Linked DNA regions of Elephas maximus indicus. The protein of the gene in region 2 purifies or fractionates together with the protein of the main gene of each other region. This does not show direct contact. Links are inferred from orthologs where the notes say so. Each region holds a gene or a part of one and is shown on either strand. Other genes may lie near its edges.

Region 1 (6,980 bases), on a different chromosome or scaffold from region 2:
TGTCAATGGACTTTTGTGTGTTGCTGTGATGCTGAACATGTTTCAGCAGAGCTTCCAGGCTAAGATTAGGAAGAAAGGCTTGGTGGTCTACTTCTGAAAAGTCAGCTAACGAAAACCCTCTGGAGCACAAGGGACCGATCTTGTGCATTGGGTCGCCACGTGTCAGGGCTGTTTCGACGGCAGCTAACAACAGTTTCCTACTGAGTAGAATTTAATCTCCCTGAACTTTTAGAACGAAGAGGGGTTCAGGAAAGCTTTAATGTCAAAAAGCTCCCTCTTTTGTTCTTCTTGAGTAGTGTTAAAAAAATGATGCTTTGCTTTCTAAGACTTCCTGATTCTAACCTTCTCCCACTTTTGTCTGGACCTTTTCTTTTCTTGTCTCCACTGTCCTTTTCCTGATCACATTTTATTCCACCCCAGCAGTTTTTCCTCAGGTGGGCACTGCCTTAAATAGCGCCTTGGCAAGTCAGTTTTGAGAGTTCAGTGGTGCAGTGGTTAAGCCCTCAGCTGCTAAACAAAAGGTCAGTGGTTAGAACCCACCAGCTGATCCGCGGTAGGAATATATGGCAGCCGGCTTCCATAAAGATTACAGCCTTGGAAACGCTACAGGGGGCAGTCCTACACTGTCCTATAGGGTTGCTATGAGTCAGAAATGACTCGATGGCAACGGGTTTGGTTTTTTGGTTCGGACTGCACTGCTCCAGCTGCCTAGGTATTTTTTACAGTGGGTCCTTCAGTCAACCAATATTGGAAAGGATAAAACCCCTTAGTTCCAGCTACTGCCATCAAATTGGCTGGCAGTATTTTTCAGTGAACACCTTTCAGCTATTTTGGAGTTCTGTTCTCAGATCTATCAGATGTTGCCCCATTGCTGCTTCCCTATTTTTCTGACACAGATTCTAATAAAATTCAGACCTACAGGTGTTGCTAGTTTGTCCCTATGTATTTGTATTTTGGAGTTTACAGGGACACCAGGATATACTGGTTTTGTTGTAAATGTTTCATGTACTTTTAATTTTGCTATTTGTTCTTTCTGCTTTTACATGAAGATTCAGAGAGACTGAAAACCAATGCTGCTGCCACTATTTTCCTAAAATCTCCTTCCCCTGACTTCTTCCCCCTAGTACTAGCTATTGAATCACTGTAGCCAAATAAGGCGTTATCTTTCAAGGCCTTCTTGAGAGCGCAGCTGGTATCGCTTTATAACATTTGTCTTTTTTGCTGTTGTTAACTACAAGAATCAAACACTTTGAAAGACATTGCTTTGATCAACCAAGTTTTAAAATTTACTTACAGTGGAATAATTAAAAATTAAACAAAATAAAATAAAACCTACTCCCAGTTTCTATCTTCATTAAAGCTTTTATAGTGTCTATGTCATGAAATTGCCTTAAAGAGACTATTTTTGTTCTTCAGTTATCAAATTCCTCAGAATTGAGAGAATCCAAGATACTTGCACCAAGTTTTATGCTGAAGAGTACAGCATAAAAGTAGTAATGAATTATATATTATCAAGACATCCCAAGCAACAGCTTATTTGTTCACATCAGAGATAAAGTGAGTGATGCACAGAAGATACTCAAATGTTTGTTGAATGAGGGATCCAGAAATGCCATATTTAGTTGTCTCCATTTTCCCTAATGTACTTGTATTCTTTTTTTACCCTCCTCTCCGGAAACAAAAGCCTTTGTAAATCCAACTTAACCTATGTTCCAAATAAACTAAAGATAAGCTTGCCTTTTAGAATCGTTGTAAATTTTTCCTTATACATCAGATGTGAATCCGAAAAAGAATTCTTTCCAGAAGTTTAACCCTACCTTCAGGCTTTCAGTACTTTTTAAAAAGATAAACCATGATTTAATGAACAGCACGATGTCGTTCACTGCATTATTTTTCCCCAATATTAATATAATGCTATCCATCACAACTAATTCAACCAGCTACAGAAATTTCAAAACACTATTTTCGGTAAAATATAAAACGAAGGCGATACCAAAATTCATTAAATGTGTCGAATACTGAAGTATCATCCAAAGGCCAGTTTATCTCATAAGTGACTGCCTTCTATTGTCTTGTCACAGTTCCAATATGTGAACTACTGTTTTGAAATCTACCATGAACGTTTCCCTGGGGTCATCACGTACCAAATATTACTGACATTACTAGCAGTGAAGCTGTATCAACCCGCCTCCCTCTCTCCCCTTCCCCCAACACACACACATTATGAAGCCTCTAAATAATTCCCTGCCCAAATGTTTTTTTGTTTGTTTGGCAATAAAGGGTTGGTACTGTCTTTAGGGCAACAGAAAACGAGTAACAAAAGGCATCATAAACATGAACGATGGGCCACGTCAAAGTCCAGGCGCTGGGGCGCGGTGGCACCGAGTTCTGGAGCGTGAAGTAAACAAGGTGCTCCGACGGCGGAAGCGCGGTTTATTGTCTGCACTTGATCGGTTCTTAGAGGCGGGCAGGGAGAGCTGGAGGGGGGATGTCGCGGGACACCCACTCCGCCTGGCAACCCCTATAAAGGAAAGGGCGACCTGCACCTCCTCGGGGAAGAAAGCGAACTCACTGAAACCTTTCCTTCCCCGACTTAATTTCAGAGTCGCGGAAGGCCCTGCCCGGCAGGAGAGCTGTCAAGCTGCCGTGACCCCCGCGGCAGTGCCCACGCGAATACCACCCGCGTCTTCGCCCCCATTCGGATCCGTCGGCCGTCCTCAAACCTTCCACCGCCGCTCCCCTCGCCACTCATCCGCAGACGGCGGGCAGAAAGGCTGGTGGGGAGAGGGCCGCGGAGCCCCCCGCGGTCACCGGCCTTCGGGGCCACGGCCCCTCGCTCACCCACCTGATGCTCTTTCACCACTTCGCTGAGGCAGGGATACCGCTCCGAGATCCATCGGTAAAACTTGGGGACTCCCATTTCGACCGTCAATACCAATTCCAGTCAGGGCCAAACCGAAACCAAACGCCCCGCCGGGGCCGACGCCACCGCCTCCGGCCGTCGCTCCGCCGATGACAACACACCGCCCGCCCGACCATAGAGCGCGCCCGCCGGGCCCTAGAGCGGCCGGATCCGAGGCGGCATCCCGGGGGCGGGACCCGCCGCCTTCCACTCGCGCCGCAGCGCTCGCTGGTGCTTACGTTTGGGCGCCGAGCCGTACGTGCGTGTTAAACAGCGTTCTGAAGATGCCAGTTGCCGGAGCTAGGCTCCACCGGGTTTATACGTGGTATGAAAACCTCACGAGACTGCTGGAAGGGTATTGAACGCTGATTTTTGTTCAGCTGCTTCCAGCTCCTGGGATTGCTAATCTCAGTGTTTTTCAACACAGATTTGGAAAGGTCTGGTGATTTACTTGGTTTAGATTGTTGTTTCTTTGGCGAAGGAAAATTATTTTCTTTTAGGTATGTAAACTTATAACAAAATTTTTTCTTTAATACTTGTTCCCCAAATTGTTTTGAGGAAAAGTTTCCCAGCTAGGCCCTCGATAGGAAATTATAAATGTTTAGTTTTCACATTCGTGCCCCTTGGTGCCATGTTTTTTCCCGATTAGGCTTCCGACCTTACAAAAGGCAGGATTATGTCAAGTGAATTTACGTGAAACTATTTTTGTTCTAAATTTAAGTTTTTCATTTATTGGAACGTAATGATCTCATTACTTTGTAATTATGAATTATTTTTTTTAAATCTTCAAAAACACAGAAAACCATATTTAAAAACTTTAGATTTTAGAAATCTCTTAAGTATTGCTGCCTGCCATAATCACTGGACTCTGCATTCTGTTACACCTAGCGAATGGCAGCATTTTTAAAATCAAAGAAACTTTAGTTTTCACATTCAGCTTCTTGGCTTAGCATGTTTTTTCCCTGTCAGACTTTCAATCATACCAAAACCAGAGTTCTAGTAAGTGAACGTAAATACGTGCTATTTATGTTCATCTCTCTCTTACTAGACTGTCAATTCCTGGAGGGCAGTTCCTCTGTGCACCAGTCTAGCACACTGCTTTGCCCACAGTATTTATTGATAGAAGCTTTTTGTTGTTGTTCAAAGGAATCCTTATGCTAATTGGTACTTTTAAAAGGAAATCAATGAAAATTGTAAAATCAAAGTAGGTTGGCTTGTTTCTTGCAAAATTACATTTTTAGACCGTAAGAACAAATGATGTTCCATTTTTCCAGTTATAAATACACAGTATGTATTAAGAAAGCAGTTTATTTCTTAATAAATGAACATATATTATTTTAAATATTATTAACAATCAAGGAGAAATAATAATAGCTGCTCTAAGAACATAAACTTATCTTGTACTTTGGAACTGAACAGATACAACCACAGCCAGTGCCAAATGCAATAATCTTACATTACTAACATATTCTTTGAAATAATTTCATTTCACATATAAGGGGTCCAGCCAAGATACATTTGGCATAGTAAGTTTTCGTCAGTAGCTTCTTGTATAAGGTAATGCACATGTCCTTCAATAGATAATGGCAGCCCTGTCACTCTGTTATGAGTCTTGATTACACCTTGTAATCGCTGCTCAATGTCAAGAACATGGGTCTTGGCCTAAAAGGAAGAAACAGAAAATGATAAGGGCTAAGAGCATAATAACATATGGATGTTAATAACTTGGAATTGCTGCCTTTATTGTTTTGTAAGAAATGTTAATGCCATTTTAATGATCACTACCCCTTTTGTTAGGGAAAATACAGAAAAAGGAAGAAATGAAACAAAATAACTTAAGATATTGCTTTCAAGGCTGGCAATGTTGATCCAACATCAACTGCTTGGACATTTTTCTGGACTATGTGAAATATCAGGAAATTCCTTCCACATTACAATTCTAGAAAAATAATAATTTTAAAAATCTGCTTTGAAAGTGTATGTAACGTACACGTTTGAATGGATATTCTAATAGCAATGATACTCTAATGCCTAATATTTAGATTATGTTGGTTCATGCACATAGAAGTTCTAAGTGAGCTACTTGGAATTCTACACATTTCTCTCAACTGAGAAAGCTTATCAGAATCTAAGAGTGGGAGAGACATTAGAAAAATTATCCTCGATATATGTCTAGCTTATTAAAAATAGCTAATTACCTGCAAACTTTGAGGTTTTGACTAACACTAGTAATAAGGGAAGGGCTACATCTGTCAAGGTGGATTGTGGGATACTTGGTGTCACCATATTGAAGCTGAGACTTGCTCTATAAATTCAAGCAATTTGTACTCAAGTTTTTCCGTAACTGTCAATTGTTTATGGTTAAATAAGTATGAAGTGTTTTGTCACACAAATGCTAATAATGTTAATAGTAATGACAATAAGGAAAATTAGGGCACTGTCATAACACATAACTAGATTTCAGGGTAATCACTGGCTAGTCACTGGCAGAATTTAGAATCAGTTCTCATTTGTAGAAACAAGCTACACCTTCTACCAACCTTTTCATTGACAACTTCCCCGGTTTCATTATGTGCTTTGGAATTCCCTTTCACTGGTTTACTCCACTCCACAAGAGGATCATGTAGAAAAGTCTTTAAGACACTAAAATTGTAACAGATATTAAGGTAATAATACAATATTTGCAAAAAGAAATCTTAAAAGAATTAGAAGCTAATGATAATACTGTTACAAAAAATACTACTACCTTTTCAGTAACATATGTAAAGTTAGTGTTTTAGGGGTGAGGAGAGGGCAAGAGAAGGGTACAGAGGTGCAAAACAAAGGAGGGGCAGAGGTGGTCTGTGGAGAGTAGAGTCAGATCAGTTCTATGTGCCATTTCTAAATGCTTAGTGTGATTTGGTAAATCAACATATATTGAATGAATGGATTTTATCCAGTGCCATGTCTTCAATGACCATATAATACACTTACAGCTACCATACAGACCCAGCCTAGATCTTTCTTCTGAGTTCTAAATGTCAAATTTAACTACTTATGGGAAACACCCACTTGGATGTCTTACAGGTATCTCAAACTCAGTTATATCCAAAACAAAACTCATTACCTTTTCCCAAATTTACTATTTCTCCTGTATTCCCCAAATCAGTAAAAAACATCATTCACCTACTTGCCCTGGACAAAAATCTGGTGATCATCCTTGCCTCCTCTTCTAACACCCAATTCTAACCTCTTTAGAATCTCTCTACTTATCTCCATCCTTACTGGTGATCATCCTTGCCTCCTCCTCTAACACCCAATTCTACCTCTTTAGAATCTCTCTACTTATCTCCATCCTTAGTGCCACTACCATCCAGTGCACCATCATTTTTTCCTGAGTTACTGAAACAGTCTTCTAACTAGTTTTCTAGCCTCTGTCTGGTCCAAGCAGGGAACCCAATTTTTCTACTATGCAAATCTGATTATCTCATTTCCTTTTTTTTTTTTAATTTTTATTAAGCTTCAAGTGAACATTTACCATTCCAATCAGTCTGTCACATGTAGGTTTACATACATCTTACTCCCTTCTCCCACTTGCTCTCCCCCTATTGAGTCAGCCCTTACAGTCTCTCGTTTCGTGCCAATTTTACCATCTTCCCTCTCTCTCTATCTTCCCATCCCCCCTCCAGTCAAGAGTTGCCAACACACTCTCCCGTGTCCACCTGATTTAAATAGCTCACTCTTCATCAGTATCTCTCTCCCCCCCACTGACCAGTCCTTTTCATGCCTGATGATTTGTCTTCGGGGATGGTTCCTGTCCTGTGCCATCAGAAGTTCTGGGGAGCATTGTCTCTGGGATTCCTCTAGTCGCAATCATAGCATTAGGTGTGGTCTTTTAATGAGAATTTGGGGTCTCCTGCTCCCTCAGGAGTTGTCTGTTGTGTTCCCTGACAGGGCAGACATCGATTGTGGCCGGGCACCAACTAGTTCTTCTGGTCTCAGGATAATGTAGGTCTCTGGTTCAAGTGGCCCTTTCTGTCTCTTGGGTTCTTAGTTGTCGTGTGACCTTGGTGTTCTTCCTTTGCCTTTGCTCCCGGTG
Region 2 (7,584 bases):
AAAATGTCCACAATACGGAGACAGAAAGTAAATTAGTGGCTACCAGGGGTTGCCGGGAAGGGGGATTAGGAGTGGCTACGGATGGGCACAGGGTTTCTTTTGGGGGAGGATATATTCAAAAACTGACTGTAGCTGTACAACACCATGAACGCACTAAAAGCCACTGAACCATACCCTTTAAATAGATGAATTGTATGATACGTGAATTATCACAAGGTGGAACAAGTAGCTTTCCAGGTCTTTGCAGAAGCCCTTACCACATAGTTGGTTCCCTCGCCAACTCCTGAGTACAAGTAGGGAAACCCTTCCCAAATGCTTTAGGCAACCCACACCAACAACTGGCACAAGAGCCAATCAACCTTCCACTCTCCAATTGCACTCACAGACTTCCCTGCCCCCAATTTGGGTCCTCCTCCAACCCACACAGAAGTCACTACCCTTCCCCAAAGACTGAGAGTTAGACTACAGGTAGGCAGGGTCACGTCTGCGTGGATATAAAAAACTTTACATCATCGGGGTTAATTAAATGTCACAAAGGACAAAAACTTTTCATGTCAACAGAACTCCAACGAGCTTGGCTGCAATGTTTACTGCCAGCAGAGCATTTGAATGCTCTCATCATTTTGTACAGCTCAGTGCTCAGGTGCACGAAAATAAATTGATTATTTCAACTGAAAGAAGACACACCCAGCAATTAATCACAGACAGAACTTCAAGCCCATCCCTGAGTTTGCTGTTTCATATCAGCTCCGGTTAAAAAGGGATTTGCAACAAAACGACTGCCTTTCACAACCACCCTCAGGGTCATGGCCCTACTGCTCAACATCATGAACTTTATCCATGGCCTCCCGAGCAAATGCACGGGGCAGAAGGCACAGCCAGCACTACCTGGCCCACTCACACCTGAGTCTAGATGCCAGAGACCTGAAAAGTAACAACTACTATACAACTGCTGCCCCCATTTTATAGCTGCAGAAACTGAGGCTCCCACTCACTCCTCCAGGCAAAACTCTCCCCTCCCCTACCTGCTCACCCAAACATGAACAGGACCAAAAAAATCACACATCTCTGCACACCTGTTCTCCCCGATGTCCCTCCCAACAAACCTATTTCAAGGAATCTGGGGTTAGAATGAGTCAAATATGTTCTGCTGTTCCCGGGAGCTAAAAGAAAGCTTAAGTGGGTGGTTTACCCACGGGAGTGACTCACTGACTAGAAGCCCCCTTTCCTCAGGATGAGGATGCAGTGGCTCCCCCAGGCCTAGCTGCCCATGCTCACCAAGGAAGCACCTGAGACAGGTGAACCTTGAGCTCACCTGTGAAAATCTAGGTAAGTAAACGGAAGGGAGGCTCGGGACACAGGGTATGTACCCGTGAAGGGAAAGGATGGATCAGAAGATGAAGACAATAGCAGCATTCCTGAACCCTGGGAGGGGCACAGGTCCTGGAAGTACCCGCACCTAGTGCTGCTCGCAACCCAAGCCCAAATTCAAAACAGCAAAGTGCCTCACGCTAAATACTGACATCATTAAAAAGAAAAAAAGTTTCTGACGGGGCAGGCCCATTTCAGTAAAACCCACGATGCTATCCCAGTGGAGAACAAAACTCGAACCCTACTTTTCCAAGGCAAGCCTACGGAGTTACATAACAGGTCGGTTTCAGCAACAGGCAACACAAGAAGGAAAAACAAAACGCAACCTGCCTCTTGAATAATCTTAACAGCAAGCCAGTGCAGGGTTCCAGATCAAAGACAAAAAATCCCCTTTTTGCTCCAGGAGCCCAGAATTCCACCTGCGAGCGTCCAGGGCGGGCGGGGGGGGGGGGGATGCAAGCCTCCGGATCGGTGGGTGTGAATGGGGGTGCCCAGGTGGCAGCGGCCACAGGTGGGAGGAGGGAGGCCAACTGGCCAGAGGGAAATGGGGCACATCACCCAGACTTGTTCAGAAGGAAGAAGTACCCAGGTCGGAGAGGACCTGGGGCAGGGCGGAGGAAACCCAGACCCAGGCAGGGGGGACCCTGGGCAGGACCAGGGACCCTGGGACAGACCACCCCAGATCCAGCCAAAGGAGCAGGTCACTCTGGACTCGTTCAGGGGGAGGACGAGGCAGGTGAGAGGTGGGGTCCAGACTCGCTGAAGAGGCCCAGGGCAGGTCGGAGGGAAGGCCCAGGGCAGGTGACCCCAGACCTGTTCAAAGGGGAAACCCTGAACAGGCCAAAGACGGCACCCCAGGCAGGCCACCACGGACCCGTTCAGAGAAGGGGGGCCCCAAGCAGGGCCGGGACTGAGGGCTAGAGACTCAGACTCGTTCGGAGAGGGGAGCCAAACGACACGCTGGAAGGGGGACCCTCGGCATATCGGAAGGGATCTAGACCCTTCCGGGGAAGACCCAGAACAGGGTCGGGACCTGGGGCCGGTGACCAGACCAGTTCGGAGAAGGGACCCTGGGCAGGCCGGGAGTGAGGGGGTGGCAGATCTCTGGCGCCGAGGCCGCCCGCTTCCGGCCCGCCATGCGCCGCTCACCTGCGCGTCGAGCTGTCCGGCCACAGCGCCCGCGCCGCCCGGGCCTCCAGCGCCTCCCGCCCCGGATCCTCCGGGGCCGCCCGGGGGCGTCTGAGTCTGGCTGGGGAGGGTGAAGTCGGTGAATTCGAACTCGGAGCCCTGCGTGTCGGCGCCCAATAGCTCGGCCTCCTCGGTGTCCAGAAAGGTGAGCGTCTGCGAACTGGGCCCGTACGCCTCCACGCTCATGGCGCCGCCGGGGCCGCGGGTCTGGCCGCTCCGCCCGCACTCGAGCCCGCCGCCGCACCGAAACCTAGGCCTCAGACCTCACGCACCGCCAACGCCGCGGCTCGGGCCGAACCGAACGACCGCCGCCTAGACCCGGGCCGAGAACCGCCGCCTCGCCGCCTCTGCCTTGCCCTGCGCCGGCCGCCTGAATCCACCGCCGCGACTGCCGCTCGAGCCCAGCAGGAACCGCCGCCGTCGCCGCCGCCGCCGCCGCCGCCGCCGAGTGCGCGTGCGCGAGCCCGATGCCGGCGCAGATGCGCGTGCGCGAGCTCGACTCTGGCGCAGGCGCGCGCGCCCCTCGCGGACGCCGCCAACCGCGCCCGACGCCCGGAGCTGAACAGGAAGACGGGACGCGCACCGCGCACGCGCGGGGGGGCGGGGCTTTTAACTGTCGTCGCGGCGGCAGCGCGAGGACGTGACCCCGCCCCAACTGCTGCTCAGCGGGATCCCGGCGACCGGTGGTGCCGAGGTGGCGCGCCGCTCCGGAGGCTGTGACGGGTCTGGGAGGCTGGGCACTGGATCGAACGCTCCTGCGCGAGTGGGGACGCCTCCCGTGATCAGGATAAGCTCCTGGGCCTCAGTGTTCCTATCTGTAGAATGGGTCCCTGACTGCATGGGGGTGCCTGGGTCATAGTAGGTGCTCGGTGCGCGCTCGTTGAATACACTAGTTTTCCTACAGCCCTTAGCACTGGGTCTGGCCCACGGAAACAGTGTCAGCTGATACTGCAACTGACTCCTTCACACTTGTTACTCCTATTACTGACATTGGTATTACTCCTATTATTAGTATTATTAACATTACTCCTGACACTATTATTAACTCCTGTTGCTAATACTAACAGCAATACCATTACTACTGACACTGTTATTGGTCCTATTACTACTGCTATTACTATGGTGTTTGCTGCTGCAGCTTACCCCCCTGATAATTGTTACTCCTTTTACTGCTGCTAAACCAAAAAAAAAAAAACAAAACCCGTTGCCGTCAAGTCGATTCTGACTCAGCAACCCTACAGGACACAGTAGAAGTGCCCCATAGGGTTTCCAAGGAGTAGCTGGTGGATTCAAACGGCTGACCTTTTGGTTAGCAGCCGAGCTCATAACCACTGCTCCACCAGGGCTCTTACTGCTTCTTAAAAAAAAAAAAAAAAACGCTTACTGACCTATTATTAATTTCTACTACTACTACTGAGGACTCCCTGGGTGGTGGCTTGAACCCACCCAGAGGCACCTCGGAAGAAATGCCTGGTAATCTGCTTCTGAAAGGTAATGGCCTTCAAAACACCATGGAGCACAGTTCTGCTCTGCACATATGGGGTCATCGTGAGCCAGAATTGACTCAACAGCAACTAACAACAACAACATTACAATTGACACTGCTATTACTCCTATCATTACTACTAGTGCTAATACTATGGTGTTTGCTGCTGCAATTGAGGCCCCTGACGCTACTGTTATTCCCATCACTGCTATTACAGACACTGTTGTTACTCCTATTATCACTAATACTTGACAATGTTGTTGCTGCTACTAGTAATACTATCTTTACTACTGCTACTAACATTAGTGGCACAGTGGTTAAGAGCTTGGCTGCTAGCCAAAAGGTCAACAGTTCGAATCCACTGGCCACTCCTTGGAAACCCTATGGAGCAGTTCTACTCTCTCCTGTAGGGTTGCTATGAGTCAGAATCAACTCAACGGCAATGAGGTTTTTTTTTTTTTTAATTACAACCCCTACCACTACTGACACTATCATTACTCCTATTACTATCATCAACACCCATGGAAGCAGCAGTCAAGAAACTAAAATACACGTTGCATTGGGCAAATCGGCTGTAAAAGACCTCTTTAAAGTGTTAAAAAGCAAAGATGTCACCTTGAAGACTAAGGTGCACCTGACCCAAGCCATGGTGTTTTCAGTTGCCTCATATGCATGCAAAAGCTGGACAATGAATAAGGAAGACTGAAGAAGAACTGACGCCTTTGAATTGTGGTGTTGGCGAAGAATATTGAGTATACCCTGGACTGCCAAAAGAACGAACATGCCTGTCTCGGAAGAAGTGCAGCCAGAATGCTCCTTAGAAGTAAGGATGGCGAGACTACGTCTCACATACTTTGGGCATGTTGTCAAGAGGGATCAGTTCCTGGAGAAAGACATCATGGTTGGTAAAATAGAAAGTCAGCAAAAAAGAGGAAGACCCTCAAGAGGTGGATCAGTAGCTGCAACAGTGGGCTCAAGCATAGCAACAATTGTGAGGATGGCACAGGACCAGGCAGTGTTTCATTGTGTTGTGCACAGGGTCGCTGTGAGTCGGAATCGACTCGACAGCACCTAACAACAACAACATCACTACCACTACTAGCACTGCTACTACTACTGCGGTGTTTGTTGCTGAGACTAAAGTCTCTGACATCATTGTTAATTCCAATTACTACTACTACCTACACTGTTGTTACTCCTGTTATTATTACTACTACTGCTACGTGACACTTTTTACGCCTATTGCTGCTGCTGCTGATACTATTATTACTTCTACTAACATGGCGGTTACAGCTGCAACTAATACCATCGACACTATTGTTATTCCTATTACTACTCCTACCACTACTGTGCTACCACTGACACTATTATTATCCCTATTACTTTGCTTATTACTACTACTGCCGCTTCTGACGATATTATTACTCCCATTATTCATATTCTACTACCACTACTATAGTATTTGTAGCTGCAAGTGACACCCCTGACACTTAATACTCTTATTACTGCTACTACTGATACTATTACCACAACTATTACTGCCGATGCTACTCACCTCTATTACTGCTACTACTACAGCTGGCATTATTATTACTCCTATTATTACTGTTATTGTTGTTGTTATTATTCAGAGGCAGAACATAGCAAAGCACTTGGGAGTACTTGCTCTGGAGTGACCTCTGGGCCTGGCTGTTCCTGGCTGTACAACTGAGTACAAGTGACTTTACCGCTCCAAGCCTGGGGTTTCCTTGGCCACCAAAGGGACATAAGCACCATTAGAATGGTGGCGAGGATTAGCTGAGCTACCATGCACTCTCCTCATTATGAAGTATTTAGGAAGGAAGTTCCATGAGGACAGGGCTTGGCCTTATTCAGAATGGTCTTACCGACGTGGAGAGTAATGCCCGCATACAATAGGTGCTCAGTAAAAGGCTTTCAGAGCTTTTAAGGCCTAGGTCAGCTACAAGTATGGCGACTTGACTCATTTGTAAAGTGACTTGGAGCACCACACTTCCTCTCCTGTCCCCAGATCATGTTGTTGTTAGGAGTCATCGAGTCAGTTCCAACTCAAGCAACCCCATGTATGACAGAATGAAACACTGCCTGGTCCTGCGCTATCCTCATAGTCATTGCTACGCTTGAGCCCATTGTTGCAGCCACTATGTCAATCCATCTCGTTGAAGGTCTTCCTCTTTTTCCCTGACCTTCTACCAAGCATGATGTCCTTCTCCAGGGACTGATCCCTCCTGATAGCATGTCCAAAGTATGTGAGACTTAGTGTCACCATCCTTGCTTCTAAGGAGCATTCTGGTCGTACTTCTTCCAAGACAGATTTGTTTGTTCTTTTGGCAGTCCATTGTATATTCAGTATTCTTCACCAACACCAAAATTCAAAGGCATCAATTCTTCTTCAGTCTTCTTTATTCATTGTCCAGCTTTTGCATGCATATGAGGCAATTGAAAACACCATGGCTTGGGTCAGGTGCACCTTAGCCTTCAAGGTGACATCTTTGCTTTTTAGTGCTTTAAAGAGATCTTTTGCAGCAGATTTGCCCAATGCAATGCATCTTTTGATTCCTTGACTGCCGCTTCCATGGGTGTTGATTGTGAAACCAAGTAAAATGAAATCCTCGACAACTTCAATCTTATCTCAGTTTATCATGATGCTACTTATTGGTCCAGTTGTGAGGATTTTTGTTTCATGTTGAGGTGTAATCCATACTGAAGGCTGGGGTCTTTGATTTTCATCAGTAAGTGCTTCAAGTCCTCTTCACTTTGAGCAAGCAATCTTGTGTTATCTGCATAACGCAGTTTGTTAATGAGTCTTCCTCCAATCCTGATGCTGCATTCTTCTGCGTACAGTCCAGCTTCTTGGATTATTTGCTCAGCATACAGATTGAATAAGTATGGTGAAAGAATGCAGCCCTGACACACTGCTTTCCTGACTTTAATCCACGCAGTATCCCCTTGTTCTGTTCAAACAACTGCCTCTTGATCTATGTACAGGTTCCTCATGAGCACAATTAAGTGTTCTGGAATTCCCATTCTTCGCAATGTTATCCATAATTTTGATCCACACAGTCGAATGCCTTTGCAGAGTCAATAAAACACAGGTAAACATCCTTCCAGTGTTCTCTGCTTTTAGCCAGGATCCATCTGACATCAGCAATGATATCCTTCGTTCCACATCCTCTTCTGAATCTGGCTTGAATTTCTGGCAGTTCCCTGTCGATGTACTGCTGCAGCCGCTTTTGAATGATCGTCAGCAAAATTTTACTTGCATATGATATTAATGGTATTGTTTGATAATTTCTGCATTTGGTTGGATCACCTTTCTTGGGAATAGGCATAAATGTGGATCTCTTCAAGTCGCTTGGCCAGGTCCGACTTCCAAATTTCTTGACAAAGATGAGTGAGCAACACCAGCGCTGCATTTGTTCATTGAAACATCTCAGTTGGTATTCCATCAATCCCTGGCGCCTTGTTTTTCACCAATGCCTTCAGTGCAGCTTGGACTTCTTCCTTCAATACCATCTGTT

Evidence for each region. The genes of interacting proteins can lie anywhere in the genome.
Region 1: the proteins of UPF1 (region 2) and XRN1 purify together in Homo sapiens (affinity purification with western blotting; 4 studies listed by BioGRID and IntAct, with this or other methods). This does not show direct contact. The link is inferred for Elephas maximus indicus from reciprocal best matches to the Homo sapiens genes UPF1 and XRN1.

The regions. Positions count from the first base shown.
Region 1 is NC_064841.1:17,336,263-17,343,242, reverse strand, and holds the start of XRN1 (5'-3' exoribonuclease 1), read right to left. Parts: upstream 3,013-6,980; 5' UTR 2,921-3,012; coding exon 2,846-2,920; intron 1-2,845. Other genes in the region: serine/threonine-protein kinase ATR, read right to left, coding at 4,391-4,564, 5,443-5,545. UniProt on the Homo sapiens protein: Major 5'-3' exoribonuclease involved in mRNA decay. Required for the 5'-3'-processing of the G4 tetraplex-containing DNA and RNA substrates. The kinetic of hydrolysis is faster for G4 RNA tetraplex than for G4 DNA tetraplex and monomeric RNA tetraplex.
Region 2 is NC_064821.1:38,707,649-38,715,232, reverse strand, and holds the start of UPF1 (regulator of nonsense transcripts 1), read right to left. Parts: upstream 3,008-7,584; 5' UTR 2,746-3,007; coding exon 2,521-2,745; intron 1-2,520. UniProt on the Homo sapiens protein: RNA-dependent helicase required for nonsense-mediated decay (NMD) of aberrant mRNAs containing premature stop codons and modulates the expression level of normal mRNAs.